Linked DNA regions of Arabidopsis thaliana. The protein of the gene in region 1 interacts with the protein of each later gene in a pairwise test. Each region holds a gene or a part of one and is shown in the gene's direction. Other genes may lie near its edges.

Region 1 (11,045 bases):
GTCATTTCCTCGTCTAATAATATGTTACTAGCTTTAAGATCACGGTGTATAATCCGCAGACGAGAATCTTGATGAAGATAAAGAAGTCCTCGAGCTACACCTCCAATGATTTTGTATCGTATTTCCCACTCCAATTCATTACCTTGGATCGGATCTATACAAACACTTGAGAACATCATACACACAAAAAACAGTTGAATGGTTTCCAAGAAGACGTTGTAATGTGAAGAAAGTTGTACCGAAGATGAACTTGTCGAGACTAGTGTGTGGGAGGAACTCATAGACAAGAAGCCTTTCAGTTCCTTCTATTGAGTAACCTAAGAGCTTCACGAGATTGCGATGCTGAAGCTTAGCCACCAACAAGAACTCGTTCTTGAATTCGGTTTCACCTTGTTGTGCATTTTTCGACAACCTTTTCACCGCTATTTTTTGTCCATCAGAAAGCACACCCTAATGATAATATACAAGAATGTTATGATAAATCGTTATAACAACTGATTCTTCTTAAGTTTGAAAGAGTACCTTATAAACTGCTCCGAATCCACCTTCTCCAAGTTTATTTTCTAGTGAAAAATGACTTGTTGCATCTTGTAATACACTGAAATCAAATTTCATGGAATCCGTGCTAATATTTTCATCTGTAAGTAAAGAAATGAGATAAACCATGCATTGATAAAATGGAGTTAGAAATCACGGCAAATATCAAAGGATCATTGAAACAGAGGAAACAGAAGGAAAAAAAACATGTAAAACAGAACACACGAAAAATCTCCTTTCATATCCGATTTTGATAGCTTACTTTCATGTTTGTTTTCTGAATTTCTGATGTTCTCCTTCCTTCTCAGCTTTAGGAAAACGACTAAGAGTACTATAAATAAGACAACAATAGCAACTGAAGCAGAAGCAAAGATCAAAGCTTTAGGTACACCTCTGTTTTTATCCCCTGAACAAAAACCAAAACACACTTAAAATGTTTAATACTGTAAGTCTGTAACATTGGGAAATAAAAAAATCTCTACAGTCTGATTTGAATCCTAGAGTTCAAAACTTTCAAATCCATAAGAAGTAGCAACCCTACCTTGTGTGACACTTCTTGTCTCATTCTTTGGCGGCCGTGATGGCGTTGCAGGCACTGAGCTTGGATCATCAGTGTCCACTGGATCATAGAATCTCCAGGGAGCATAAGCCAACATACAGCTAGGAGACATCACATAACTACCCATTTTCATATCACAACAGCTTGGGATCTTTGCAATACCCTGAGACAAACAATACGAACAATCCTCTTCCGAAATATCCGGTGTGCACTGAACCAGACCGAACAATGTCTGAAATGAAGGCCCGCTCGTTTCGCCTACAACAAAATTCTTCTTGCTCCGACCAATAACAGAGGCTCTGTTTTTAAGCCCTTCGAGTAAACCCCTTAAAGATTTCTCCCAACTATCACGATCTCCGGTGAAGTTTCTTGTTCCCGTTATACTTGTGTGAGGGGAAATCTCCAATCTATTGAAGATTGTCCGGTTTGAGTATCTAAACGTACATTTGTCATACCAAATAATCGCCTCTTTCTGAACCGGACACAGCGTGACAAGTCTTTTTCCAGCCATTGCGATGCAGTTGATGCAAACTTCAAGTTTGACATCGCCTCTACACTGTGAGATTGAATTGACTTTTTCATCGGAGTCTCCCACTGAGATGTTGTAAAATCCGTTAACGTTACGTCGGAGAGATGATAAAGAGGAGATGAGGCGGTCGAGGTTGACGGCGTAAGGGGTGTTAACGGTGAAGTTGCCTGTGACGTTTGAGCATATTTGGTTTAACGGAACCGGTTGCGACTTAACGGTGAAGCATTGGATTTGGAATAAGAGTGAGATCAGAGGAAGAAGAAGAGACAACATCTGAGTTATTTCTGTTGATCATTGTCTAAATTGTTAGAACGGGATTTAACACGCCATTAGGCGTTGACCTTTGACTCTGTTCATCTTTGAAACGTTTGTTTATTGTAAGCTAGGCTGTTTTGAAAATTCGACAATAATTCATAGAATTATGAGTTTGTTTATCGATTTTAGACGCTCGTGTCAATGTCATGGAGCGGATGGCGAGTATAGTTTTATGTTGTAATGCACAACTTGTTCTGTTTCTTGTCAGCAAATAAAAACTACTTGTTAATCAGCATGTTGTCAGAGTTCCCCTAAATTATAGTATATAATGTTGAAGGAGAAAAGATGGGGCAAATATCAGACGATAAATGTTATCTTCTATGTAAGTAATTACACAGCTGGGTTCTAAATATCTTCTACATCTAATTAATGACCTCAAAAATTGTTACATATATGTGATCCTTGTGAATTGGATCTAATGAAGCTGAGAAGTGACGGTGATAAATGTATCTACAGGGCAAGGGATGGTCAAGCCGCCCATTGGATGATCAAACCCAAACTCTTGTTCAGATTTACTCAACAAAGCTTGAAATGAAGGCTGGTTCAAATATGAGACTGGCACTATGTATCTTTTCATCTGGCTTTCTCCAACGTACACTGCAAGAAACCCTTTTGGTGTCGAAGCTGCCATTGATCGACCTTGAAAGATCTTCTTTGCGCCCATAAGACCTCGGAACACTCCCATTTTTTTGTTCTGCTCTGATGGATCCTGGAAAAAGATTCAGCTTAGAAGTCTCCTTTAGCTTATCAGATTAGATGAAGAAGTTGTTATGCTCACGATATGAAAACAATGCAATATATATATACAACCAATTTCGTTCATGTGATAGAAACCGTGGGCTTCTTATACAAGAGTGGGACATGCATAAGAAGAATTCACATGGCTCTGTCTTGCATGTTATAAACTGATAATTGAATATGGATTATATCTGAAAAGAATTCATGACACTAGAAGACTAACAACAACTTCGAGCGCACTTCACATGAAATTGTCGATGGCACATATACATCTCTTTGGAATGGTATGTAGATGATGTACGTGGGACCTTTATGTTATATACCTACACAGCACCTGAAAAGTCTAAGTCACTGAGTCAAGTAGCCAAGTGGCTACACATAATTGATAATCCATTATCCATCTGACTAACCCTCCATATTATCCGTGAGGGCACTGTCCTGCAAGTGTTGAGAAGAGAGAAATAGAAAAGACAGAGGGCCCGCCGTTTTTTCACGCTTAAAACAACACGTCGTTCTTCTCTCTGCACCTTAACTGTGTGGCGCTTTATGGGATTAGCGATCCCGTTACTAGTTGCAACCAACTAAATAACACGATGTTTCTCTCTTTCGCAGAAAAACTGCATGGCGTTCAAGGATCCCCTCTGTAGTTCGAAGAAGAAATAAGCGAATGGGGAAAATTGCGAGATCGACAGCTTATCGCCGATAGCGCGTTTCTACTTGTGTGATTGGGCCTTAATTCAAAATTTATCAGAACGAAGCCCAATTCTCAGTGATACAATATAAACTTATAACATTTTTTGTATGGATCCCGGCCCGCGTAAACCATTTCCAGTCCCGTATAAGAAAAGTTGGATCGAAAGTATGTATTTCGGTAGGTATTTAACAAAACAAAAGGGGTTTTAGCAAAAATATAAAACGAAAAGGTATTACAATCTAGTGAAAGCTACTTGGAGTGGAACAAAGTTGTAGAATCTGGTCTCTCATATCTCATTTCCTCTTGTTTTGTAAAGATGGCATAGTCGCCTTTTGTAGCTTGTACCAGAAAAGGGAAATGTTAGGGATTCTGTCCTTTTACATTTTGTTTTCTTGTTAAAATTATTATGAATCTATCCTACGTTGAAGAATGTGTATGGTAACAACCCCTCCACTTCTAATTATTAGGTTTATATCTTCTTCATTTTTTTGTCGGCATTAGGTTTATATCTACATCTACAAAAGAACATAGAAAGTAATTCGAAATTTAACCTATCTATTATTCAAAATATATATATATATATATATATATATGTTTTTGGTTTTTCTTCTTTTTCTTTTGTGAAATCCAAAATAATGTCAAATCTTAATTTTGGAATTATTCTCTCCGTTTTATTAATAATTAAAAAATCACGTCAATTAAAAAAAAAATCTAATAATTTAATTGCCGTGATTTAGAAAATCTGCTTAATCCATAGATAGCCGCACTAGAGCCGGCCGGCTTTGACTTTGGTTGAAGTGTTTGACGCCAGCTCAGAGGCGCCGACCAATGAAGGACGAACACAGAAGGATTAATTAGCAACAAGTGTCCCCACGATTTTTCATCAACGATTGACACGTCATCACAAATCAAGAGGGTAAATTGCTCTTGTCAGAAATCTTTAGCTCCGTCAGTTATGTGGAAAATATAATTAATTCACACGACTCGGTTACTGATTTTATATTTTTATCCGTGGACTGGCATGTATGCACACAAGTGTTATTGCCCGTGTCATACGGACCACATCCACATAGTAGCTTAAGTGGTCAAGATTGTTCGATGTTCCATTTATGTTTTCTGGAGTTTGCTTAGTTCGTCGGTCTCTATTTATAATACGTCATGATCGTGTATTTAATTACATGTCAACTAATATTATTAATTACAAGTAGTCGGAATATAAGTTCAAAAAAATGATACAGCCAAACATTAGTCGGAAAAAGATATTAAAAAGGAACCGACCATTGGCTAAAAAGACACAGTCATTATGACTAAACATCGTGTTCTTTATGATTTTCTTGTCGGTTACTGAAGTTAAATAGCGAACCTAACACGCCCCATGAGTAAGTAATCCAGATTGTGTGAAAAGTTTATGTAAAAGAAAAGATACGGTCATGTAATCATGTTACAAAAAATGACAAAAACGCGAACGGAAATTCAATGATTTTTTTTGGATAAAGAAGTTCATGAATATTAAATTAGACTTTTATGACAGATTAGTTTAGGTAATCTTAGGTGGGGAAAAAAACACAAGATGCTTTCGAAGTTATAGTCTAGCTAAGGATATATGGTTAATATACGTTTGGTGGTGGCGAGTCCACAAATATAAAATGAACTCAATATATATATATATATATATTTTTTTTTGTCGGAAACTCAATATATATAAATTTAGTCATAAATAGCAAGAAATTTATAAATTCTGTTTTAATCATTTTTAATTAACAACTAATATTTTCCTGACTTCTATACACATATAAAGAACAGGCAAGTCCGAACCAAATCAGAACAAAATACTCATACACACACACACTTGGATTTAAAGAAAAAAAGGAGTTTTCCTTCTTCTTTTGGGTGTGTCAAGTTTCTGTTCTTCCTTTTCTCGTGCTTCCATCACGAGATATCTCACAAGGCTCTCGCGACTCAAGAAAGGTAAAGATAAAGAAAGAAGAAGCAAAGATTCCATAAATGGACTTGAAAAGCAACAACCACCAGCAACAGCAACAAGTACTTGATGGCTCGGACATAGTTGAGCTGGTGGAAAACGAGAAAGTGTTCGACAAGTTTGTGGAACAAAAGTTTCAACAGTTAGACCAAGATGAAGATGGTAAGCTCTCCGTGACTGAGTTACAACCCGCCGTTGCTGATATCGGCGCTGCTCTTGGTTTGCCTGCTCAAGGAACTTCTCCTGATTCCGATCACATCTACTCCGAGGTAATTTCCTTTTCTTCTTTCTTAATACCTTTTATATTCGTGATCTATGGTCCAGTCCGACTAATTTGCATATACATATGTTAGCATTTTAATTTCTTAATCACTTTTCCTGTATTATTGATCTTTCAATTGTTGGTTATCATGTGATCTTTGATTTTTTCCGATTACCGTATATTTTAATGCTAGTAAGAAATGTTTTCAAATTGGCCGGCGTACTAACTACTAACTAGAAATGTTCGCATCTAATTTTTGTGTTACATCTTTATTTTTATTTGATTTCAGTATTCATTTAACTGTTAACAATTCTTCTTGGGGTCTATATATGCCCTTTGCAAATTCTTTAACTTTGTCACTAGTCTGTGAGATGGAGTCGAACCTCTCATACCGAGGGACACAGGTTGTTTAACTCTCGCCATTTTGTGCATAGATTTTTAGGATCTTCGAAAGGTCATACTAAGTCGTAAATCATATAAAATTATATATAGAAAACCTCAACCATTTTACCATAGTTGTTTAAGTTATCTTCTTGATACTTACGTGGTGGTCTGGTGGATTCATCCTATATATTTTTTTTTTTCTAATATTAAAATGTGTTTTTCTTTACAGTAAACTAGGTCAAAAAATAATAGAATCAGTTAGTTGTTTTAAAGAAATGATAATAGCTTTGGTCGGTGACCTTATCCTCTATCATATCTCAAACTAGCCCCTCGTGTCGCTCTTCTCCTGTCGTTTCAGTGTTGAAACATCGCTTTATAAATCATCACCTAGTTATTATTTTACTAGTTACTGTATAAAGACTGTTATAGTATTTTGTTTATTTATTCGTTATTTACTTATGTATGACTATTTTTCTCTATTTATTTAGTTTGGCTAAACTCATACAATTTAGGTGAACTCAACAATTTCCAGTATAATGCTTGTCCTTTCTTGACGGAAAAAAGGTTTCTTTTTCAAATAATTAATATTTTATCAATTAAAGCTTTTATCTTTTTAAGCATTCGGTCTGCGTAAGGTTTCATTTTCGTTCAAGACTTTCTTGACATTTTTTAAAAACAATATCCCATATCACATTTTTCAATCCTCTTATTTATGACATAATCTGTGACGAAATCAAACGCCGTTTCCTATTTTACGAATATCCAACAAAAAAACGTACGAGTATGAGTATCACAAAAACTATTTAGTGGACCAAAAACAAGTTACAAGTACAATAGTAATATTTTTTTATCGACATGGAAACCCCAAATTACGTCGTGTTTCGCATGAATCACGTGGATTAATTAATTAGATCAAGAGGACATTGATTGTAGATTTGTAGTTATTAGCTGCAAAGATATCCAAGAAGAAGTAGTAAATCTGAATACGAATCTCTCTCTTAGTGGATACAAATCAGTATCCAATTACTTATCGTTAGGTTTAGCTTTTGGTGTATTTAAAGAAGAGACAACGAGATTAAACCAATAACCCTCTAGCTGTCTTATCCGTACATTTATTTTTCATCGTTTGTAACGTTATAATAAACTATATACAGGTCCTAAACGAATTCACTCATGGGAGTCAAGAGAAAGTGAGCAAGACAGAGTTCAAAGAAGTGTTGTCGGACATTTTGTTGGGTATGGCTGCTGGTCTGAAACGTGATCCTATCGTCATCCTCAGGATGGACGGTGAGGATCTCTCGGAGTTTGTCCACGGCCCTGGATATGAAATCGAGAGCATTTCTGTTTTCTCAGAGCTCTCCAGTAGCAAGGACGCATCGCTCCGTGATTGTATCGTCAAAGCTCTCCAGTCTCTTTCTGTTGATCATGGAATGCCTCCTTCCAACGACCCATGGGTACCTATTTATTTTATTTTTATATATTTCTGTTAAGCTATGGATTTTCCTAATTTAACTTCAAATCTAAATTTATATGATTGATAAAATAAAGCATATAATATTAAGAACCGTTTGTTTTTGTATTTTTACCAAAACCGTAAAAATACTTTTCGGGTGTTTTTTTTTTGTTGTACAAAATATCAGAACGATACTTACATGGTGGGAGTACATATGATACGTAATATGTATCCAAGTTCGTATTTGATGTTATATATGTTGCTAGAGACAACTGAGTTTTGCCTAAAAAGCAAAGTCCTTGTAACAGGTGATGAGCAACATCGTAGAACCAATTGTTGACTCTTGTCTTGATGAAGAAGATAAAAGAGAGAAAAGCGCGTCTCAGGAGAGATTCTTGGAAGCATTCAAGAGAGTCGTGGAGAGTGTGGCTCAGCGTCTCAATGAACAGCCCGTGATCGTTGCTCACAGCGAAAACACCTTTGATGGGAGCGGTATCAGGAGGCTCTTGTCCAATAAATTCGAATTCGATAAGGTAAACTACCATACATATATATGTTATCTAGCTTTTATGCTAAAGGAAAACTTTTTAAATGATGGTAACGAGTGATGATGATCCGGAACGGTTTGGTCGCAGGCACTAAACGTTGCCATGGAGACGATTCCAAAAGACCGTCAGGGTAAGGTGTCTAAAGGATATCTACGAGCTGTGCTTGACACTGTTGCACCATCGGCCACTTTACCACCAATAGGCGCTGTGTCCCAGGTAAATAATGCCCCGTCTAAATTATTTTGTCTTTTAAATTGTTTATTTTGCCTTTGAATTTACATGTTACAATTATTTGTTAAACAAATGAAACCAGAATTAGTGTTTTAATCAAAAATTATTAGTGAATTTTTATTTTTATTTTTTGAACGGCATTGATTAGTTAAGTTTGTTTTTGTTTATAAGATGGATAATATGATAATGGAAGCGTTGAAGATGGTGAATGGAGATGATGGAAATGTGGTGAAGGAAGAAGAGTTTAAGAAAACAATGGCAGAGATATTGGGGAGTATAATGTTGCAGCTCGAGGGTAGTCCCATATCGGTTTCCTCTAACTCGGTGGTTCACGAGCCGCTCACCTCGGCTACCTTTCTGCCGTCAACTTCGACTGATACAGAGGAGCCTTCAAACTAATCATAGAAGGGAATAAGCAGCACTAGCAGCAACAAATGTTATATGGTTTTGACTTTTGAGTGTTTACCCCCAAAAGTTTTAGATTAATGAGGAAAACCGTCTTTACTTTCAGATGTATAAAATTGAAAGTTTGGGGTTTCCTCTTGTTGGTGTGGTGATTCTACTCATGCCTTTTTTTTTTTTTTTCTAATGACCATGGGATGCAATGTTTACTCTGTTTTTTAATTTCGTTAAAATTTGTTTACGTTTATGATGCTTGAATGGCTATGATGAAACATTTGAGTTATCTTTAAAAGTGTGAAATAAATATTCTGAAGTTAATTGAAGAATTTGAAAATTTGATTACAAGAGCTTGGCTAAAACTACAAGGAGACCAGATTAGTACAAAAACTTAGCTAAATTTAATTAATTACGGTCATTAGCACAAAAAAATAATTTGTTTTTATTATATTATTATTGGTAAGTGGAAACACAAAAGAGGACCAAAAGGTCCAAAAACGAATAAACTGTATCTCTCATTCGCCGGAGTTTCCAGCCGTTTCTTTCCGATTCTCGGATTTTTCCTGGGAATCAAACGCATCGCCGAGAATCGGAAGAGAGGGATAAGGTTATGGCTCCTCATGGAGATGGATTAAGTGACATCGAAGAACCTGAGGTCGATGCTCAATCGGAGATTCTTCGACCGATCTCCTCAGTCGTCTTCGTCATCGGTACTTTATGATTTATGAAGTTTCCGATTCGATCGATTTCTTCTTCGTCTTCTTACTTACTTTTTGTGTGTTTCTGACGGAGCTGCAGCTATGCAAGCGGAGGCTCTTCCTTTGGTCAACAAGTTCGGACTCTCTGAAACTACTGATTCGCCGTTAAGAGCTCTCCTTTTTTCGATTTTGCTTGTTTGGATTTGATCTCCATGAATCTCTCACTTCAAAGTTTACTTTTTTGCAGGCTTGGTAAAGGATTGCCCTGGGTTCTGTATCACGGCGTGCATAAAGATCTTCGAATCAATGTAGTTTGCCCCGGAAGAGATGCAGCTTTAGGTAAGCTTTGCACTCAATGCTCTCAAAGATATGATAATTAGCCTGTGAATCTCTCAGCATTTTAGTATAGTAGCTTTGGTTTCTCAAGTCGCTGCATTGTTTGGTATGAGGGAAAATGAATGCACTTTTTTTATGCTACTAACTGAGATTTCTCTCCAGGGATCGATAGTGTTGGAACTGTTCCAGCTTCTCTCATAACTTTTGCTTCCATCCAAGCATTAAAACCTGACATCATAATCAATGCCGGAACCTGCGGTGGCTTCAAGGTACAGTTCTTTTACTTCTCGTGTGCTCTGTCTTGACTTCCAGCATCCTTGCTAAGAACCACGTCCTCTCTTCTTTCTTTACTTGTGGTTTGGGTTTGATTTTGTTACTGCTCGTTTACTCAACTCTGAGATTTGAGTTGCATCATAAAAGATCTCTCTCTCTCTCCATATCTCTATTTTTATGTTGTGAAAGTTGGTTTATTTTCATGTAATGAAAGTGCTGATTGGCTGAACATTTGCAGGTCAAAGGAGCCAACATAGGCGATGTATTCCTTGTATCTGATGTTGTGTTTCATGATAGAAGAATACCAATTCCGGTAGGTTCATCTTCCTTTCTTTCTTTTTTCCATCTTTAGTGATGATTCCCTTTTTGCCAGTTCATCTTGCAAGTTCCTGAGCAATGTTTGTTTATCTCTCTAGATGTTTGATCTGTATGGAGTTGGTCTCCGTCAGGCATTCTCGACACCCAATCTCCTCAAGGAACTCAATTTGAAGGTATTTAATAGACTCAAGATGCTACTTACTCTTTTAACTATTTCAATTTTGACAAAATTGGGGTGGTTCAGATTGGCAGGTTATCTACTGGTGACTCGTTGGATATGTCCACGCAAGATGAAACATTGATCATTGCCAATGATGCTACGCTAAAGGACATGGAGGTAGTGTAATGTTAACAATTCTTATTACTGAATCTAACCAGAAAATCAATGAAACTGTTGTTTTGAAACTCTTTTGGCTCTGGATTCTTCAGGGTGCTGCCGTGGCGTATGTGGCTGATCTTCTGAAAATACCAGTCGTGTTCCTCAAAGCCGTGACCGATCTAGTGGACGGAGATAAACCTACAGCAGAAGAGTTCTTGCAGAACTTGACAGTTGTGACCGCTGCATTAGAGGGAACTGCTACTAAAGTGATCAACTTCATCAATGGGAGAAACCTTTCGGACCTTTAACTTCTGTTCTCTTCCTTTTTTATGGAGAGTGATTTTTTAAAATGCGTTCAACGTGCTTGTTGCAGTTTCACTGATTTCCAGTGATCATATTTCTCGTTAATAAATTTCAAGTTATAAGACGTTCTCTCCCTAGTGTTGCTTAAATTTTGGTAAAGAAACAATT
Region 2 (9,579 bases), on another chromosome or scaffold:
CACACAGGTCAAGACATAGCCCTCACTCATCTGTTCATCGTCTAAGAAGCTCTGGTCCGACTGGTCAATAGAACCAGAGACGACTTTCCCGGCGCAACTTGAGCAAGAACCGGCACGGCATGAGTAGGGCAAGTCGAGTCCGGCTTCCTCAGCAGCGTCGAGGACGTAGACATCTTCTTCGCATTCGACCTCTTGTTCTCCCTCAGGTGTGATGAACTTGACCTTGTAGGTAGCCATGGCCGTGACGCGGCCGCCGCGAGCGGTGGAAGATTTGAGGCCGAAGAGAGATTGTGTGTTGGCAAACGGGAGGGATCTGAGGCTGATTGGTGTCTGTTGACGGCGGAGGAAAGAGGTGCTTACGATTGCGCTGGAGAGAGCAGTGGAAGCCATTGTTGAAAGATGATTCTACAGATTTTGTGAGTGAGTTGGTGTGGCTTTGTGAAAATGTCGTAGAAACCGTGAGGGAGAGAGGATTATAAAGAGGTGAATCTGCCACGTGGCGTACGATGTGTGGGCTCTTGTGTTATCTTCTTGGTGATTGTCTCTATGTCTTTGTTTTACATTGTGCCCTCTTTCGTTGGTGAGAGTAATATGTGGTTTGGACTTGGGACAAGTCTCCATCAGAATATGGGACTAGGAAGATTCTAGGCTTATTTGGGTTCTAAATTGCTATTTATGAAAAAGAATTGCTGATATGCTTCAAATTGTTTTGTGCAATTTTATTGCTTGCAGGTCCCACTAAATTTTCAGATTGAGCCAATGCATGTAATTTCCCAACAGACTTGAGTCAGAATTTTCTTAGAAGGACTTCACCGTATATAACCCAATAAACTCACCCCGTGAAACCAAATTAACACCATGAACGAGAGTTAACGACTCCCAAGGCCCAACACATGACAATAATTAAATGATCCAATTGCTCCTAGATGACACCATATTCAATGATCTAAGTGAAGTGAAGTAAATACGACCAAAAAAAGATAGGGAAAAAGATTACAGGTAGTAGTAGTATAGTACACCCACTCGATTCTAATCTAAAGAGAACAATTCACTTACCAAAATGGGAAGAAAAAAAAAAAAAAAAAAAGAAGAAGATGAAGAGACAAAAAGCCCCCATTGAAGAATATATTATGTTCCTTCAATATAATATATAACCTCGTAAGAGCTTCCTTCTAATTGGATTTGTTTTCTCTTTTTTTCCGTTTACCTCTTCTAGTCGCACTTGATGTTTCTGTAGATCCTCCTTACAAACAGATTTGATCCCAGGTAGCCAACAGCTCCTGCAAAATTTTCACATAACGAAGGTTTAGTCAAATCAATAACACCACTCGCTAGTTTGAAGAGAGTGAAGAGAGTGAGCTCACCGCAAAGGATTCCAAGGCCAAGACAGAACATCATGGTGTATCCAAAGTAGAAGCTTGTCTGGAAGAATCCGGACATCTTGGTCTTTACGTAGTAGTAATAGATGGAGTATAAGTACACATAGACAGCCGTCGAAGCAGCAGAGAAAAATGAAGTCCACTGCCAGTGATAGTTCTCTGCATTCAGCAGGAAATATGTACCCACGATTGTCACACACACCGTCACTATGACGAGAATCACAAAAACCAGTAACATGAATCCATACACATAGTAGACCTGTCGAACAAACAAAAACAGACAACTTTCAAAAATAGCCACTACAATTTACTTTCGTCGTTATATGATTAGCAAAGACAAAGTTAGTCCTACTTAAAGAAGTACAGCTGCTCAAACTTTAGCTAGAAGTCTACTACAACTAGCGTAGGTCTTAATGTAGCTGTTGTGATTGGTTAATATGCATTCAGTGAGGGCTGGATTACAAACGCTGGTTAGGCAGATTGCTGAAGGGGGGTAGATTTTTAGGGGTTTCGTTGAAAGTTGAGAGTCTCTCACTAATCAAATCTCTCCGGTTTGGCCAATTGGAATAAGAATTTGCAATTCCATAACTTTGTTCTTATTAAGAGAAACTATATTTACCTTGTAATTCCAGAAGGATGTGAAGACAAAGTACATCTCAATGAAGATGCTTCCAAAGGGTAGCAAACCCCCCATCAGGGAGACGACTGATGGAGTCAAGTACCATTTTTTCTCAGGGATTGGACGTGGAATAGTCTTCACACGGCATGGATTGTTAGGAGCACCGCTCCAATTTCTTCCAACAACCGTTCCGAGGAGGGCTAAGGGGAAGGAAATGAACCCCCAAATTACAAACACAACCACCATTGTCCCAAAAGGAATAGCCGCAAGAGATCCATAGAATATGGCAATTGTGTTTAGGAGAAAGCCAATTCCGAAGCACAAAAAGGGGAAGAGAGAAGCCGTGAGGACCATGCACTTGATCCAATGTTTACCTGAATAAACCAGCATTTAAATTACTTGAATAGTTAGAGAGGAAAGTAACACTGGAGGGGTCCGCCAAGTCGAGTAAGTCATACCCCCGCTTCTTGAGTACATTCCACCGCTCACATAACCAGAGACAAAAGAAGTCAGAGCATAGCACACTATGAAAGTTGTGACGATTGCTCCTCTCCTGAAATAATTAGAATAAGAGGTGAGCAAAATCCAATATACAAGCCAACCGCATGTAGGGAAAACAACAACACAAAATTGGTCTCAAGAGAAAAGAATAGTGTAATACATACCCAACGTAGAGAGTTCCCACGATGGCCATTAATATGACAAGAAGAACCAGCAACGCCAACTGTGCACCTGTACCAACTACCGCTGAGAGCAGAACTAGACTACTTGCTGGCCTGAACACATCTCCATGCACAAGTTTCCAACCAGATTCTTCACTTACATCCCGTTCCTGTGCCCATCAATACTCACGTCAGAAATGGCTATGAAGCCTTGCATTTAGAAGTAAAGAAAGAAGTGTTGGACAGACTGCTAGAGAGTATTAACAGCTAAAAAAACAATTGTGCAACTAATGACAAATAAAAGTTGAGGAAACATCACCAAGCTCTCAAGATCATCATCTTCTCTAGCATACTTCGCATAATCATTTCTGAGAGTCCTCATCAATATCATTGAGACCAAACCGGTGAGGAAAATAACCATCATGAACGAGTTAAAGATGGAGAACCAGTGGATCTGCAAAAAGAACAAACTCTCAGAAGGCTTATAAAGCTTGAACAGAAATCTTGAAGAGATGGAATATAGAACTTTGGTAGATTCTTGGAAGAATAATTATGGCTTGCACTTATGAACAAGCATGAAATGGGGTATTCAGTGTGATACATTATAAACCAGTGAACCATTTGGAATCACAGACAGTAGCAGAAGGGTACAAGACTAATTCATAGCATGCTAAAAGTTACCTGGTGTTCAAAGAACGGATAATCCAGATATACGTCAAAGCGGCGAGCAAATGTGACATTTGTTGGAATCCATTGCACAGAATACGTCAGGTCCATTTTTTTCCCTGCTTCCAATGGCCTTGGGTTGTCTTGAGTGAGATTAACATGAATGATCTATTAAAATAGATACATAAGATCACAGATGTAGTTCACATGATATCCATACTATTGCTTAATGGCGTGGTAACAACCGACCTGGTCTTTGTTGTATTTGACAACAATGTTCTTATGTGTGTAAAGAACATGCTTGCCGTTTTCACTATTTTTGTCAGGATGCAGCTCACCCACAAAGCCTACAACAGCAATGAGACAGTATTAAAACTATATAAAACAAACAAAGAACATAATAAATTTTGGATGTTTCAAGTAAATATACAAAGTTCATACCCCACAAAGGTAGATCATCTGAAGTTAGAACCACCCGATGAAAGTCCACGCCAATCAGATGCCACAGAAAAAGGTGAGAAATAAGGTTAGCAATCCAAAGAAGTTATGTAAGATTATATATCCTACAACATCCAATGCCGTAAATGATATTGGTAATGCAGTGAAGTTAGATATCGGAATAATTTAGATTTGCATGATGTAAAAATGAACCAAAGGAAAACTCAGCAGATACAAAATGTTTCCAAACTTTACATAGTAGGAAATTGCAACATCATAGATAATAAATCAGCATTATTTTCATGAATTTCAGTGGTAATATGTACAACAGACGTGAAACATACCCATAAAAAATTCGAACCAGTAGCTAGATTCAATGGCATCTTTAAAATGCTTGACCTTAGCTTCATCGAGTTCAAGCGGACAGATGACACTTCTCTCGACATTCTCTGTGGAAAAAACAGAAAAGGTATTGTAACTAGAGAATAAGTACGAATGTACGATAACTGTTAACTAGTATGAAAAAGAAGCTTGTATAAGAATTGAAACGTACTCATGAATTTTATCGCAATCTCACTGTCAATCAGCTCATTTCCACCTAGAACTTCACCAAGACCACCCCATTTGTGAACATTGTTTCCAGATGGGCGGCAAAATGGAAGACTGTAATAGTTGTATGTTTCTTGTGGATTGTTATATGGGCCAACTTTGTTTACCCATAGGGTGACCTGCTCCTCGGCTTGATACTGAAAAAGGTGAAGGCAAAAAAAATTGACTTGACAGAAAAGCACAGAAATGTAAAAGTTTATGGGATTAACTAGTAAGAGAGAGTAAGAACCAAAATTCCATTAGAGAGAACAGAACAAAATGTCAAACGTAGACAGACAGATACTGATAAAGGCTACGTTCAATATCATTTCAAAAATCAGGAGTTAAAGTCTTCACACAAATGATGGTTCCATAGAAATAATGGCTCTTGAATAATGCTACCAGATTGCTCTTGAATAATGCATAACCCGCCTTTATCTATCATCTTTCACGCAGAAAATATATAGTTGGAATCGACTTTAAATGTCACACTACTTGCGAGCGTAAGAAGGCAGAGGAGCAAAAGCATTAAAGCTAGATCTCATGATCTCCAATATCACAAAAGGCAATAACAATTTTGAGCTGAAACTGACCATCAGCAAAAGAAGCCATGTGTGACACTTTCAGTATCACATTTTAGATACCAATTGAAAAAAATCATCAACCCGACCTCGGAACTATAAGATCTACATCTCGAAGATGCTAATACATTAAATGCCACTCAATTACAACACAACTCAGTGTTGATCCAAGTATTTGAACATCAAACAGGCTACCACGTGCAGAAATCAACGAGAATCTCAAACCAACATCAAAATTTCTTATTAAAATCGAGATTGTGAAAAGCCTAAATCACAATGAATAGACAAAATACGCCTAGACTTGCAACGAAAAGATACGCCTAAATCACAATGAATAGAAGCTCGAGGATCCTAGCAATCCGTAAACGAACAGATCCATGAAAAAAAATTCAATCGCAAACACCATGCAAATCACGGATCTACGGACACAGTGCTCGATTTCGAGCTGCATTAAAAGAAAAGAAAAAACGACTGGAGATCCGAGTCTTACCTTGTGATCTGAATCGGATGCGAACGTAGGAGTGAGAAGGGAAACGAGAAGAAGGAACACGAGGACGGCGGCGGAGGAGGAAGACGGCATCGTGAAAACCGGCGGACGATCAGATCTGAGGAAGGACGGAGCGAGAGATACCAATCGAGAGAGAGCGAGATCCTCAGCTCAGTGTTTTCACTTTGTAGAGATTTTGGGTAATACAAAAACAACGATAAGGCTTACAACTTCTTTTTTGCTCTATTAATTAATTGGGCTTGTAGTACTAAGAAACGTATATTAAGTTTAAAACCCATATAAGGTCTTTTAATGTTTGCTCTATTAATTGATTGGGCCTTTCGTTCTAACAAGTGTATATTAGTTTAGCGGCCCATATAAGGTCTATTAATGTTTTCATATACGCGCACGAACTATGTCATTTCAATTAAAATATACACTCACACATGGGAACATAACTTCTTCTTTTTTTGTATATATGTTGAAAAATGTTAAAAGTAGATGAAAATCATGACATAAATTCATTAAAAGGTTACGTTTGAGTGACAATCTTCATAGAGAAAAATGTGATTTATGGACAATGACTCTCTCTATATAGAACCAAAAGAATCTAAGGCGAATTTGCTTGCTGCTGACCACTCGTGTCGTGTAAATAGTGTATAGTTGAAGTGTTGAATTAGGGAGAAAAAAAGCGCGTTGGTGACAAAAAAAAACGTAGTTATACACTCGAATCAGCAAGGGAAACAAACATGTATGGATCGCATGGAAACTTGTGGGTCCCTCTTTCTTTTAAAAAATCTCGTATTAATTAAATAAATGGAAAAAAAAACATGATGGGAGTTTGTTTAGGCAGGGGAGATTCTTCTTCATTCTCATCATTATTTCTCTATTAATTTCACCCCAAAAAAGAAAAAAGAAAAATTCCAACAAGAAAAAAAAAAGAAAAAGAAAGTTGATTCTTCGCTTAGGCTTGAAATCTCTCCAATCCAAATCTCAAATTAACCTTCCATCGTCATCTCTTTCCCTTTTTTTTTCCCACTTTCTTTGCGAATCGCGAGATCTCGGAATCGCATCCTTGATTTTGGGATACTGTTTTTTTTTTTTTTAATCTTGTTTCATTTTCACGTGAAATTCTTAGCTGCTAGAACTGGACTTGAATTTCAACGAGAATTTTGGAGATTTTTTTTTTGTTTGGGTTTTTCCTTTCTGTTTTGTGTGTTTGGAATTAGGGTTGTCGAGCGAGAATGGACAAGTACGAGCTGGTGAAAGACATAGGTGCTGGGAATTTTGGAGTTGCCAGGCTCATGAAGGTCAAAAACTCTAAGGAACTTGTTGCCATGAAGTACATCGAGCGTGGTCCTAAGGTATATTCCTCTCTGTTTTTGTGTTTTCATTGCTCTCCATGAGCTGGTGATCCTATACCCAGATATGCATAATTGGAATGAATTGCTATTAAGCAGAAGAGTCGATTTTTTTTTGTAAATTTCTTATCGTTAGCTGATTGGGTGTTTAACGTAACGTTAGTTATCTTGTAGTTGTAATATTTTTCCTGAAAAGATTTGTACAATGAGTATTTGCTTTGTTTGTTTTTTTTGATACAGATTGATGAGAATGTGGCAAGAGAGATCATTAATCACAGATCACTTCGCCATCCGAATATAATCCGGTTCAAGGAGGTTAGTGAATTTCTTGTTGCTTGACATGGGTGGTGTTCTTGCTATGAAAAAGTTTGTTGATAATCTCTTATATCTTTCATCTTGCATTCCTTGTTGGGTTTATGGATTTTATAGGTGGTGTTGACTCCAACCCATCTTGCCATTGCCATGGAATATGCTGCTGGTGGTGAACTATTCGAGCGTATATGCAGTGCTGGAAGATTTAGTGAGGATGAGGTGAGCTTGCCATTTGAAAAATTGTGCTGTGCTTTTGCGAATATGAAATTACTAGTATTTAGGATAATCTGCATGGTCTTTGGAAAGATTAGGAGGAAGGGAACAAGAGAAAACATGTGAACCTCCTTTTATTTAGTATCAGGCATTAAACAGTTAGGGTCTACGTTCTAATCCTTTCTCTCTTTTCCAGGCGAGATATTTCTTCCAGCAGCTTATATCAGGTGTTAGCTATTGCCATGCTATGGTAATGTAGAGACAATGACTTAAGCAAAATTTACTTATCCATTGGCTGTTTGAAGTCGTTTTTTTTTAATCATGTGTTGACTATTTTGTTGCAGCAAATATGCCATAGAGATCTGAAGCTCGAGAATACGCTCTTGGATGGAAGTCCTGCTCCACGTCTGAAAATCTGTGATTTTGGTTATTCCAAGGTCTGACACTAAAAAAAAATCCAAGTTCCCCCCTTGTCGACGAGATCCTCTTTTGTGATTTGTTATTCTCTTTTTTTTAGTCCTCTCTGCTGCACTCTAGGCCCAAATCAACAGTTGGAACTCCAGCATATATTGCACCTGAGGTCCTTTCTCGAAGAGAATATGATGGCAAGGTAATCAAGCATCATGCACAATGCAATGAACTTCCATAAACCCATGAGTATTTATGATATTGTCATGCTCTTTACATTTTTACTTTTGAATTTAAAAAGTCATCTTTGTGGAAGTCGCTAAGATTTGAAGCATTTTTTCTTCTTTCAGATGGCTGATGTATGGTCTTGTGGTGTGACTCTTTATGTCATGCTGGTTGGAGCATACCCATTTGAAGACCAGGAAGACCCCAAGAACTTCAGGAAAACAATACAAGTAGGTTTCTTTTTTGAAGCCATGTATCTGCATATCTCGCTTTCGCCACATCCTATTCGTCAATGTGTGATCTTGTTATACAGAAAATAATGGCTGTCCAGTACAAGATCCCGGACTACGTCCATATCTCACAGGATTGTAAAAATCTCCTTTCCCGTATATTTGTCGCCAATTCACTCAAGGTATACATCAATCAACTGAACTAAATGTTTTCAAAGATGCCTTTTGATTTTTCTGAACAATTGAGCTACTTGTTGTTTCGTAGAGGATCACCATTGCAGAAATCAAGAAACATTCATGGTTCCTAAAGAATTTGCCAAGGGAACTCACAGAGACAGCTCAAGCTGCATATTTCAAGAAAGAGAACCCAACCTTCTCCCTTCAGACCGTTGAAGAGATCATGAAGATAGTGGCTGACGCCAAAACACCGCCTCCTGTTTCCCGATCCATCGGAGGTTTTGGCTGGGGAGGAAATGGGGATGCAGATGGAAAAGAGGAAGATGCAGAAGACGTGGAGGAGGAAGAGGAGGAGGTGGAAGAAGAGGAAGACGATGAGGATGAATACGATAAGACTGTAAAGGAAGTACACGCAAGTGGAGAAGTGAGAATAAGTTGATATTTTGGTTTTTGGTCTGTGTAAGAAAGAAGTCGTCGTTGGTTTGTTGAAACTGAAAAGTCTCTGTTCTCGTGTTTGCCTTTACAATGCTTTGGCTAAGGTTTTGGTTCTGGTTTTGGAGATTTGTAAAATTTGCAGTATAAGATGAACAAACAGAGAGGTTGATGATGAGAATGAGTCCTTTGCTACGCATGGTACTATGAACATTGTGACCTCCAATAAATATTTTTGTAAATTAGATTTTATTTTCCGAAAAGATTCATGTATTTGATTTTTGGATTTCTTATTTTTATTTTTTTTCGTTCCTTATCATTTTTTTGAAAATGCAAATCTATAAAATACAAATGTCAACAAAAAATCAAATTGAAATGTTCGGAATTCAAAAATAATTGTTTTCTTTTGTTTTTTTGTTTCTGATGCGAAATGTGAATATATTAGAGGGAAAATATCCCGCCATTAGGAAACCGGATAATCTTCTACGGCCTTGAGCTCAAGTCGGTGGTGGCCATTTTATCCTGTGCTTCGTCTCGCCGACTTCCCTGATTGTTTCGCCGCCGGAGTGTTAAAAGCAACGTTACAGAAGCAAGAGACTCCACTGAATCGAAAATGTATTTCCTGGCTTTCGTTTCAAAGTCATTTTTAGGGTTTTCGTTTTGTTCTTTCTCACACCGATTGCGTTTCTTCGTCCTACGAGTGTTAATATTTAGTTGTCGATTAGGGATTTCGTTTCGCATGGGTAAAGATTAATCCTTTAGACTCATGACTGATCGATTCACTTCAATTTCCTGTTTTTT
Region 3 (9,913 bases), on another chromosome or scaffold:
TGGTGAAGAAGACAGTGGTGGGATTCACATTGTTGGCATTCATGCTCATGCTGCTCATCATAGACATAGTCATCCTCCTGGTCATGATTCATGTGAAGGACACAGTAAAATCGACATTGGTCATGCTCATGCTCATGGGCACGGGCATGGACACGGACATGGACACGTACACGGGGGTTTGGATGCTGTTAATGGAGCTAGGCATATCGTTGTTTCTCAGGTACAAAGCTCTGTTCTTTTTTTTTCTGATTCTTTCAGAGTTGCAAATACTATTTGGGTTTCTTCAAAAAAGCTCCAAAATTTGTGCTAATACTGTTAGGTTCTGGAGCTTGGAATTGTGTCACATTCCATAATCATCGGTCTATCCCTTGGAGTATCTCAGTCTCCTTGCACAATCCGGCCTCTAATCGCAGCACTATCCTTCCATCAATTCTTTGAAGGATTTGCGCTCGGTGGATGCATCTCCCAAGCGCAATTCAGGAACAAATCAGCGACCATAATGGCTTGTTTTTTCGCCCTCACAACCCCGATAGGGATCGGGATTGGAACCGCAGTGGCGTCGTCTTTCAATTCTCACAGTGTCGGAGCATTGGTCACTGAAGGTATCTTGGACTCGCTCTCAGCCGGAATTCTTGTGTACATGGCTTTAGTGGATCTCATAGCTGCTGATTTCTTGAGTACAAAAATGAGGTGTAACTTTAGGCTTCAAATTGTATCTTATGTAATGTTGTTCCTAGGAGCTGGACTCATGTCTTCTCTTGCCATTTGGGCTTAATTAGAGTATAAGATTCCATAGTTTCTTCTATAGCTACAAATAACATGTATAGTTCTTTCTAGAGAATTTATCAATCTAAGATTTCACAATTGCTCGCAAATCGGATTTTTCTTGATACTTTGATGATTGTTGAGTTCAGAATAAGAACTACAAACCAAAGCTAGCTAGACTTCAAGAAAATGTATTTCCAATGTTTAAACGATAATGTTAGATTCTCATCGAAAGTGTTGCAGAATTTGCAGTTGCATAGTTTAAAATGTCATCGATTGATGGTGAGCCAAACCAGGAACAATAACAACAGATAACAATAGTTTTTAGTAACAACAAACTCAACCCAAAATGTGAAATTTATAAAGACATGATTTTTAAACCATCAAAAGCTGGTGAGTAGGTGAGGCTTAAACAATGTCTTCTTCTTTGTGGGTTTCAATGGTAACATCAGAGGTAGGGTAAGCAGCACAAGTGAGAACAAACCCTTCACCAATCTGTTCATCATCAAGGAAACTCTGGTCAGACTGATCAACAGATCCAGACACAACTTTACCAGCACAGCTCGAACAAGAACCAGCACGGCAAGAGTAAGGCAAATCGATTCCAGCTTCCTCAGCAGCATCAAGAACGTAGACGTCGTCGTCACACTCAACCTCTAGCTCACCTTCTGGTGTGATGAACTTGACCTTGTATGTAGCCATGGCTGTGACACGTCCACCACGAGCGGTGCCTGATTTGAGACCGAAGAGGGATTGTGTGTTGGCTGATGGAAGGGAACGGAGACTGATTGGAGCTGGGGAACGACGGATGAATGAAGTTCCGACGATGGCGCTTGAGAGAGCAGTGGAAGCCATTTTTTTTTGTTTTGTGTTTTGGGAGATAAAGTTGAGATTTTTGAGGATTATGGCTTGTGGAAATGGCGTGGAGAAAGATTAAAAGGTGAGAACTTTTTAGTGAGAATCCTATCTACCACGTGGCGTCTATTCTGTGGATCGATGGATTATCGTCTTTGTGTTTTATGATTTGTGTGTGTGTGATTGTGTTTGACACACTTTAAGAACACTATCTTGTTGAGGTGAGTATTACGTGGTCTTACTTGGGACAGCTCACACTTATTCGGACCTTGTTTGTATCGTCTAAATAACTCTTCGTTTGTTCCACTAAAATCATAAAAGATGTGGACTGGTTGTAACATCATATCTAGGCCGGGTTTAACTTCCAAACCGTATCAACCTGACCGAATCAAACCATTTTAACCCAATTACTGTAAATTACTCCATTATAATTATATAACGTAAATAATTGAACCTTACATAGAATGTATACCAAATCAACAAGTGAATACATAATCTCCACCTTCACACTTCAGTCAACTTCTAATGGCCTTTCAGTACATGAATAAATTGTTGGGAGAAGAGGTCATACTTGCTTGAATTGGGTGGAAGTAGTTTTCTAGTGAAGACCAGCCTCTTGGCATAACGTCGGAAAGTAGAAAAATCCTCAGAAACTTAAACACAATCAACAAAGTAGAGTATGAGACCATCTACATCGGTTGATTCTCAAAAAAGAGTTTCTCATGAATAAAATATTGCTTATTTTAATTGAATTTAGATAAAGTATTAAATTTTAATAAAAAGAATAAAATCAATCATTTCTGGAAAAACACGTGGCCATAAACATTTTTCAGAGTTTCTGAAAACAGAGACGATTCTCACTTCTCTCTTCTTTTCACCACTTTGTATTATTTTAATAATAAATATCTCTTTTAAATACTGTTGATGGAAGTGTCCTGATAGGTTTAAAACTTTTTAGTTATTTTTAATAAAAAGTGACTAAATTTTTTATTTTAGTTAAAGAAAAGTGGTTGAGATCTCTTTTAAAAACAATCTATCTATCATATCGAAATGACAAATTAGATAATCGTATTATCAAAAGCTAGATCTAACTAGGAATTGCAAGAGCATATTTTGCAGCCCCATTTCAATCTACTACATGTTGCAAATAGACAAATAGATAATCATATAGATAAAACTCATCAAGGAGATTGACTTATTGTTAACGAAACCAAACCCATGACATAATTTAGTAATGATGTAAGTGTTTTTGTACATGAAACAGTTTGCCACAAGCAACAACTGGACTTATGCCACTGAAATCAACGAAATTAGAAACCATATTAAAACCTAATCCATAGTGCCACGAACACAAGAAACCTACAACGCAGTCGATAAACACTTGCTAGAATTACGTTTCTTAAAGTTGTGCATTAGCCTTACTTCATCTATTGGGCCTTAAAATCATAAAGCCCATTACGAGAATGCAATCGTAAATGTTTTTTTTTCTTTCTTACTCAACATCTATATGATATATCCGTTATCTGTTGGGGTAGCTTAAGCAAAGTCACAACTCACAAATCTATCCATCATTCAATGTAACAAATCTATTGCTTTTTTAGTTAAGAAGAGAATTTATTTAGTTTGCATCTCCTATTATTTTAACAAAACTAATAATTTTTTGCAAATTTTAAAATTATATCTCAACTTTATACATATAATCAAAATGTGATTTCACATAGCCACATTCGGAAAGTATAAACCAACCATTCTACAAACAACCAACAAGTCAATGTTTAATTACGTTTTTCAGGTTAATTCAGAAGTTGTTCCAAATCGAATCTTTCCGTAAAAGGCAAAAACATATCTAGACAATCCAACAAGATAACTAAGTCATATTCAGATTCGTTATATAACTTATATAGCTTTCTACTGACCGTTAGTTGCAATTATAGTTTATCTAATATTAAACTAACTTTCTTTTTTGTAACTAAATACTCTCGGGTAAAAAAAGTCCTAACAATCTCATTTTTTGATAACTGGATACTTTAAGATAAAATCCAAACTAATCTCCAGCTCTTATAAAGATCCACTAGAGAATTATAGTAAACATTCTTGAGTACAAGTTGTTTTCGTATTCTCTTGATTCTTTAAAAAAAGCATATCCAATAAACAAATGATGTTCTCGTAGAATCGGCAAATTGCAAAAAGATGAAAAAATAAGAAATAGACGCAATTCTGTGACAACTAAAATATCCTTTTCACATATAGCGACGTCTCAGTCACTAAAGAACCGATAGAATTGGAATTTGTAGGTCCCACATTTATTAATATACCTCTTAAATTAACCAAAAATAATTCAATAAGTAAACTATTACTTAAATAATAAAAAAATAAGAGCCATCGTGACTTCGAGAGAAGAAGCCAGCAAGGAACGATGGAGATTATTACGGCATCATCATCATCATCATCATCATTGTAATTCGTAATCATATCTTCTTTTGGAATTTCTTCACGGATAAGAAAAAAGGATATCGACAATTTCGCTTTTGCTTTCAAAATCTCATTCTATCACTTTGTGCCTTTTTTAGCCATCGCGAAAAACCTCTGAATCGCATCCCTTGATTTTCTGGGTTTGTGACTTTGTGTAGTGGAAATTAGGCTTGTTGTTTGATTTCGCTACGAGAAAATGGACAAGTACGAGCTTGTTAAAGACATCGGTGCTGGGAATTTTGGAGTGGCGAGGCTCATGAGAGTCAAAAACTCCAAGGAACTCGTTGCTATGAAGTACATCGAGCGTGGACCTAAGGTTCTTCTTCTAACTCTCAAATTACTTCCTTTTACGTGTGCAATTTTGCAAGTTGGAGTGTTCTTCTGCTTCGTTTATCTGGGATTCTTACTTTTGTGAGCATAGTACTGGTTCATTGTCTTATAAGATCAAAGATTGAGTATGTGATTTTCAATCCTTTTTTTTCTGGTTTTGTTTTGGTGAATAGATTGATGAGAACGTGGCGAGAGAGATTATTAACCACAGATCACTTCGTCATCCCAATATTATCCGGTTTAAGGAGGTAACTGCATTTTTTCCATGGCTTCATGGTGTCATGTTTAAACCGATGGTGATTAGTCTCAGCGGAAGTTGGTATCCTAAGTTCACTGTTGTGGCATTTCCAGGTGGTTTTGACACCAACGCACATCGCCATTGCTATGGAATATGCTGCTGGCGGTGAGCTATTTGAGCGTATATGTAGCGCTGGAAGATTCAGTGAGGATGAGGTGAGCTTCCCCTGGCATTTAAAGATTTTAAGTCATGGTGGTGTACTAAATGATCAATTTCAGAGTTGTATTGTGGTCTGAGATTAATTGAGTGGAAAGGAAAGCGGAAATCTTGTAGAATTATATTTGTGTTTTGTAGTACAGGAAGCAAAAGGAATATGTGTTGTAAATCATTTGGAGCAGCTTCTCCGATTATGATAGCTTTTTGTGCACATCTTTGTTTTCAGGCAAGATACTTTTTCCAGCAGCTTATCTCAGGAGTCAGCTATTGTCATGCTATGGTAAGAGAAAGAAATGGGTTACGAAGTTTTTTTAACTTCACAGATATACATAATTTCTGCGGTATCAGTCCTTTACTTGCATTAGTTCCTTATTGTCACAGCAAATATGCCACAGAGATCTGAAGCTTGAAAATACCCTCTTAGATGGAAGTCCTGCTCCACGCCTGAAGATCTGTGATTTTGGTTATTCCAAGGTCTGCCATATATCTCCAGCATGCACTTGAATGTGCTAGTGATTTCTTAATTTATCCTGTTGTAACAAGCTCCTCTTTCTTCTTTTTCCCTCCATTTGCGAGGCCCCTTGTCACTTCCATGTGAGCTATTTTTCTTCTTTTGTAGTCCTCACTGTTGCACTCTATGCCCAAATCAACTGTTGGAACTCCAGCATATATTGCACCTGAGGTTCTTTCTCGCGGAGAGTATGATGGCAAGGTAATCTTATTGGTTTGCAAGTATTAGTATATCAAGTATGCTTAGCATCTTGATAGAGACATCATAGTTTGAAAAAATTTCCTGCGTAGTAATGTAGCTCTTTCAACTTTTTCTCATGCATAATATGTTTATACATCAAGAAGGTATCGCCCATATTGGCAGATATCTGCTGTGGCCTTGATAGATTTGGGCAGTAAACATGTCTTTTTAATTATCCAGGACCAGAATGTGTTATTTTTCCATTTTTTATCATTTAATCGCCATTCCTTTTTTGCATTTCTCGACTCTTTAAGTGCGTTTGTTCATTGATAATTATAAGCTTTCTAGCCTTGAGCCATGCATAAAGAATTTTTTAGAAACGCAATGGATCCCAAATACTTATCTTGACCCATATGCTCTATGAAATTGTTATGATCTTATTGTTTGGATTTGGAAACATCAACTTCACAGAAATCATCAGAGTTTTGGTACTTATATTCTTCCTTCTCACTCAGATGGCTGATGTATGGTCTTGTGGTGTGACTCTTTATGTCATGCTGGTGGGAGCATACCCATTTGAAGACCAAGAGGATCCCAAAAACTTCAAAAAAACAATACAAGTAGGTTTCTTTGTTTTTGCATTCTTTGCTTAAGAGTTGACACGACACCACCACTGATCGTTGTGCCACATTGTTACAGAGAATAATGGCTGTCAAGTACAAGATCCCGGACTATGTCCATATCTCACAAGATTGCAAACATCTCCTCTCCCGTATATTTGTCACCAACTCGAATAAGGTATCATCACTCTGTCGAAAAGCTTGTCCATCCTTTTTGAGATAATTACTTGTATAACTTATCATTTTTCTTGTCAGAGGATTACGATAGGTGACATCAAGAAACATCCATGGTTCCTAAAGAACCTGCCAAGGGAACTTACAGAAATAGCTCAAGCTGCATACTTCAGGAAAGAGAACCCGACATTCTCACTCCAAAGCGTCGAAGAGATAATGAAGATTGTGGAAGAGGCAAAAACTCCAGCTCGTGTTTCTCGGTCGATTGGAGCATTTGGGTGGGGAGGAGGAGAAGATGCCGAGGGCAAGGAGGAAGATGCAGAGGAAGAAGTTGAGGAAGTAGAAGAAGAAGAAGACGAAGAAGATGAGTATGATAAGACGGTGAAGCAAGTGCATGCTAGCATGGGAGAAGTCCGAGTCAGTTAAAAAAAAAGATTGATTTTCTTTTCACGAAAGTATTCTAAAACCAAAAAAAAAAGAAAAAAAAGTTTTCGTTGGTCTGTCGAATTTGTCTCTTGCTCTGTGTTGAGTTCTTATTTTCTTTTCTTGGTCATAATTTTTAAGGTTAGTCTCATAAATGCTTTGGAATTTTGCTTCTGAAAATCTTGTAAAATCTGCAGTAGAAGAAAGAACAAACTGGTTTGATGATAAGTTCGGTTTGGGCGAATAAAATATTTTGTATATTATATGGTCTATTTTGCAAATTACCTCAGATTTCACCTTGTTTATTTTGCTAATTAATTTTCATATACAAACAGAGCTTAAAAATTACAATTTACAACATTTTTATACTTGTGAAATTGAAATCTCGTGTAATACTATTTTGTCATGTTATAATTTTTCAAAAATTTATCGTTGCTGTTTTTAAAATATGGATTTAAAACCGATACATGGAATTATTTTCCTTTGAAATCAAAATATATTTGTTTTTGATGTCTGTGAAAGTGAGGGAGAGAGAGAGTGAACCTTTTTAACTATCCCGCCATACGAAAATCGCAGAAAGCTGTAATTGGAGACGCGCTCTTTCTTCTCTCTCGCCTCGTGATCTTACCGGAAAAGTTTCGTCGCCGGAGTTTCACTATTTCGCCGCAGAAGCACTAGAGTTTCATCTGTTTGAAAATGTAATCTCGATCTTCCCGTTTCCCAGTCATTTCTAGGGGTTTTTGTTCGCTTTTTCTCACACCGATTCATTTGCGAATAATTTTTGAGTGTATTGTTCGGTGTTCGTCTGTGTGTAAAGAGGAATTTTCGTTAGTTATAGCAGAATCGCTTCATCTTCTAGTTGGAGAACTTATTAGCTTCTGGATTTGGTTAGTTCTTCGTTTTCCTATGCATAGATTTTGAAATTAATCGTCAAATTCGTTGTGGTGTATTGTAATTGTCATAGCGATCATGATTACAGCTCAAAATCGGCACAATTGTATCTTCCAGCTGGTACAGTATGCAATTTCTGCAGTTTATGTTACAATTTCATCAGATTCAACTAATCGCAATGCCACTTGTTTTGTTTTTGTACAGTAAATGGTGGTGACAAGAGGAGATAAATTTGCTGGAAGCTCTTTGGCATGTAAATCTATGATCGGTGCTAATAAAATGAGGCAAAATTGATCATATCCCTGTCCATTTTGGTTTTATAAAGAACTTTTCACGGATCTTTTGTTTTATTCTTCCTGATTGTGTAAATGCAGTGGGAGTCATCTCCATGAAGTTAATAATTCCAGAAGTCACTTTCCTCAAACAAATTGGTTGAAAGTTGCCAAGGCGTTTGAGTGTATACCATCCTTAAATAAGTTTATGGGCTCCAATTTCCTTTACTCTCTAGAAAGTCAAAAGCTGGGAAGAGATAGAGAAATGGCTGCAAGGTAATGCATTATCTTCTTTTGAGGACCAATCAGCTATTTCTGTATGTTTTTCTTGCGTTTTTGTATCCATTTCTGTTCAATTGTTTGGTTACTGGTGAAGATTACTTATAACTAATCCCGCTGACTTTATAAATAGTGTTTCCACCACGCTGTAACATCTAGCTTTTCCAGCTTCGTTTGAACCTGTGTTATTGCTTGTTCTGATTCTGGATATAGGAGATCTTGAGCTAGAATAAGGCTATTTCTTTATGAGTGAAAATCCCGTATTCATTCTTCAGTTACTTCCAACACCTCCAGTTAAAAGAGAGCTAGTTGTTCATAATATCATCCTTTGATCTTTCTAGTAAATAATTCAGTGATGGAAACTCTTGTGAGGTTTTCTCTGTTGTCTTCAGGTATTAGTCTGTTAGCTGAAGTGGTCTGAAAAACTTGTTTCTCTCTATGTCTAGGTCAATTGAAAACATCGCTCCTGTAACTGTACAAACTTTGGCACGACCACAAATTGAGAAGGTACTATAGTTGAAGGAAAACTCTTGATGGTAACAGAATTTTAACGTAATCCAAACCTTTCGGCATGTTTGTTGTGGAGGATTTTCTTGTCTATAGCGTACTTTCTTCCATTTCCTGTCTCTGAATTTTGGTCACCATTGCAATTAAATTCTGGTTTTTGTCAGATTGATTTTCCCCTGGCAGAGAAGCCTTACTTCAATCATTGTACATATATATAACTTTTGTTATCCAATGTTTTCAGGCTTGGTGTACTCTTATAAATCTATCAATAAATAATACCTACCTGAGACCTGGCATTACTCCTGCAATTGATAATGACAGCACTAGTCGTACATCTTCTACGAAAGGATCCACTTTTAAAGTTACATCCAATGCTGATGGATCTTTCTGCGCACACAATCATCCAGAGCATAGTCAAAGGAGTGTAAGAGGCACTGCAAAATCAATTGACAGTTTCTCCTCCTCTTCCGTAGGTGATAATAAAATAATTATTGACAAGGTTCCACGGGTCAACTATGAGGTTAGAGATTCAGTAACTGTTACAAATGGTATGGAGATGCCACCAATCAAAAATTCTGCACAACTAGCCAGACCGGTGGAGCCTAGGGAAGTTAGTCTTGGTGAGATTGATTATGATGACATAATGGAGGTAATATTCTTTATACAACTAGGGAAAATTTTTAAAATCATAAGTACTTTTTCTATGAGAACAAGAAACTTTTTCTCAATTCGGATTTGTAGTACCAGTAAAATGTAACATATATTATGAAAAAGTTTGTGGGATACTCTTTACAGAGTTTGCACCATTTTTCAGTGAACTAAAATGAAATCTTTTCATAATTACTTGTGCCGAATAACAGAATAGATTAACTTCAACATGTGCTAACTTTGGAGCGCAGATTATTGACGTAGACCAGATTGCGATGGAACACTGCCCTTCAACGTGTACGAAGCAACCATCAGTATCTAAGTTTGTGGATATATTTACTTCCAGAAGAGAAGAAGAGCAAGGTTTGCCTCCTGAAATATGTTCCAACTGTAGTCATGGAATAAAGGTATGCTACCAATTCTCTCATTTTCTCCATAGTTACTTCATAAACCAATTGGGTTTCTCATGTTGTTTGCTTTGATATCCACGCAGCTAGGGCTTTGTCCTGAAGCTTCTACCCATGTGGAACAA

The links.
Region 2: the proteins of AT4G38810 (region 1) and SNRK2.4 interact in a two-hybrid assay, tested with the Arabidopsis thaliana proteins (one large-scale study listed by BioGRID).
Region 3: the proteins of AT4G38810 (region 1) and SNRK2.10 interact in a two-hybrid assay, tested with the Arabidopsis thaliana proteins (one large-scale study listed by BioGRID).

Annotation. Positions count from the first base shown.
Region 1 is NC_003075.7:18,113,192-18,124,236, reverse strand, and holds AT4G38810 (Calcium-binding EF-hand family protein), read left to right. Parts: upstream 1-5,076; 5' UTR 5,077-5,376; coding exon 5,377-5,622; exon of another isoform or gene 5,623-7,153; coding exon 7,154-7,453; intron 7,454-7,760; coding exon 7,761-7,985; intron 7,986-8,087; coding exon 8,088-8,216; intron 8,217-8,402; coding exon 8,403-8,630; 3' UTR 8,631-8,954; downstream 8,955-11,045. Other genes in the region: CRK26 (cysteine-rich RLK (RECEPTOR-like protein kinase) 26), read right to left, coding at 1-154, 240-450, 523-638, 800-943, 1,079-1,898; AT4G38820 (uncharacterized protein), read left to right, coding at 2,385-2,606; AT4G38825 (SAUR-like auxin-responsive protein family), read right to left, coding at 2,356-2,625; MTN1 (methylthioadenosine nucleosidase 1), read left to right, coding at 9,241-9,340, 9,429-9,492, 9,576-9,667, 9,827-9,933, 10,176-10,250, 10,354-10,428, 10,500-10,592, 10,685-10,882.
Region 2 is NC_003070.9:3,655,256-3,664,834, reverse strand, and holds SNRK2.4 (Protein kinase superfamily protein), read left to right. Parts: upstream 1-6,226; 5' UTR 6,227-6,664; coding exon 6,665-6,784; intron 6,785-7,021; coding exon 7,022-7,096; intron 7,097-7,210; coding exon 7,211-7,312; intron 7,313-7,404; coding exon 7,405-7,428; intron 7,429-7,502; coding exon 7,503-7,556; intron 7,557-7,650; coding exon 7,651-7,743; intron 7,744-7,823; coding exon 7,824-7,916; intron 7,917-8,064; coding exon 8,065-8,169; intron 8,170-8,252; coding exon 8,253-8,351; intron 8,352-8,434; coding exon 8,435-8,785; 3' UTR 8,786-9,022; downstream 9,023-9,579. Other genes in the region: FD1 (ferredoxin 1), read right to left, coding at 1-390; TMN1 (transmembrane nine 1), read right to left, coding at 1,213-1,280, 1,365-1,638, 1,999-2,372, 2,457-2,551, 2,664-2,830, 2,980-3,114, 3,342-3,494, 3,576-3,673 and 4 more.
Region 3 is NC_003070.9:22,436,272-22,446,184, reverse strand, and holds SNRK2.10 (SNF1-related protein kinase 2.10), read left to right. Parts: upstream 1-3,963; 5' UTR 3,964-4,077; exon of another isoform or gene 4,078-4,250; 5' UTR 4,251-4,288; coding exon 4,289-4,408; intron 4,409-4,595; coding exon 4,596-4,670; intron 4,671-4,773; coding exon 4,774-4,875; intron 4,876-5,102; coding exon 5,103-5,156; intron 5,157-5,257; coding exon 5,258-5,350; intron 5,351-5,495; coding exon 5,496-5,588; intron 5,589-6,082; coding exon 6,083-6,187; intron 6,188-6,266; coding exon 6,267-6,365; intron 6,366-6,442; coding exon 6,443-6,787; 3' UTR 6,788-7,122; downstream 7,123-9,913. Other genes in the region: IRT3 (iron regulated transporter 3), read left to right, coding at 1-220, 320-775; FED A (2Fe-2S ferredoxin-like superfamily protein), read right to left, coding at 1,174-1,620.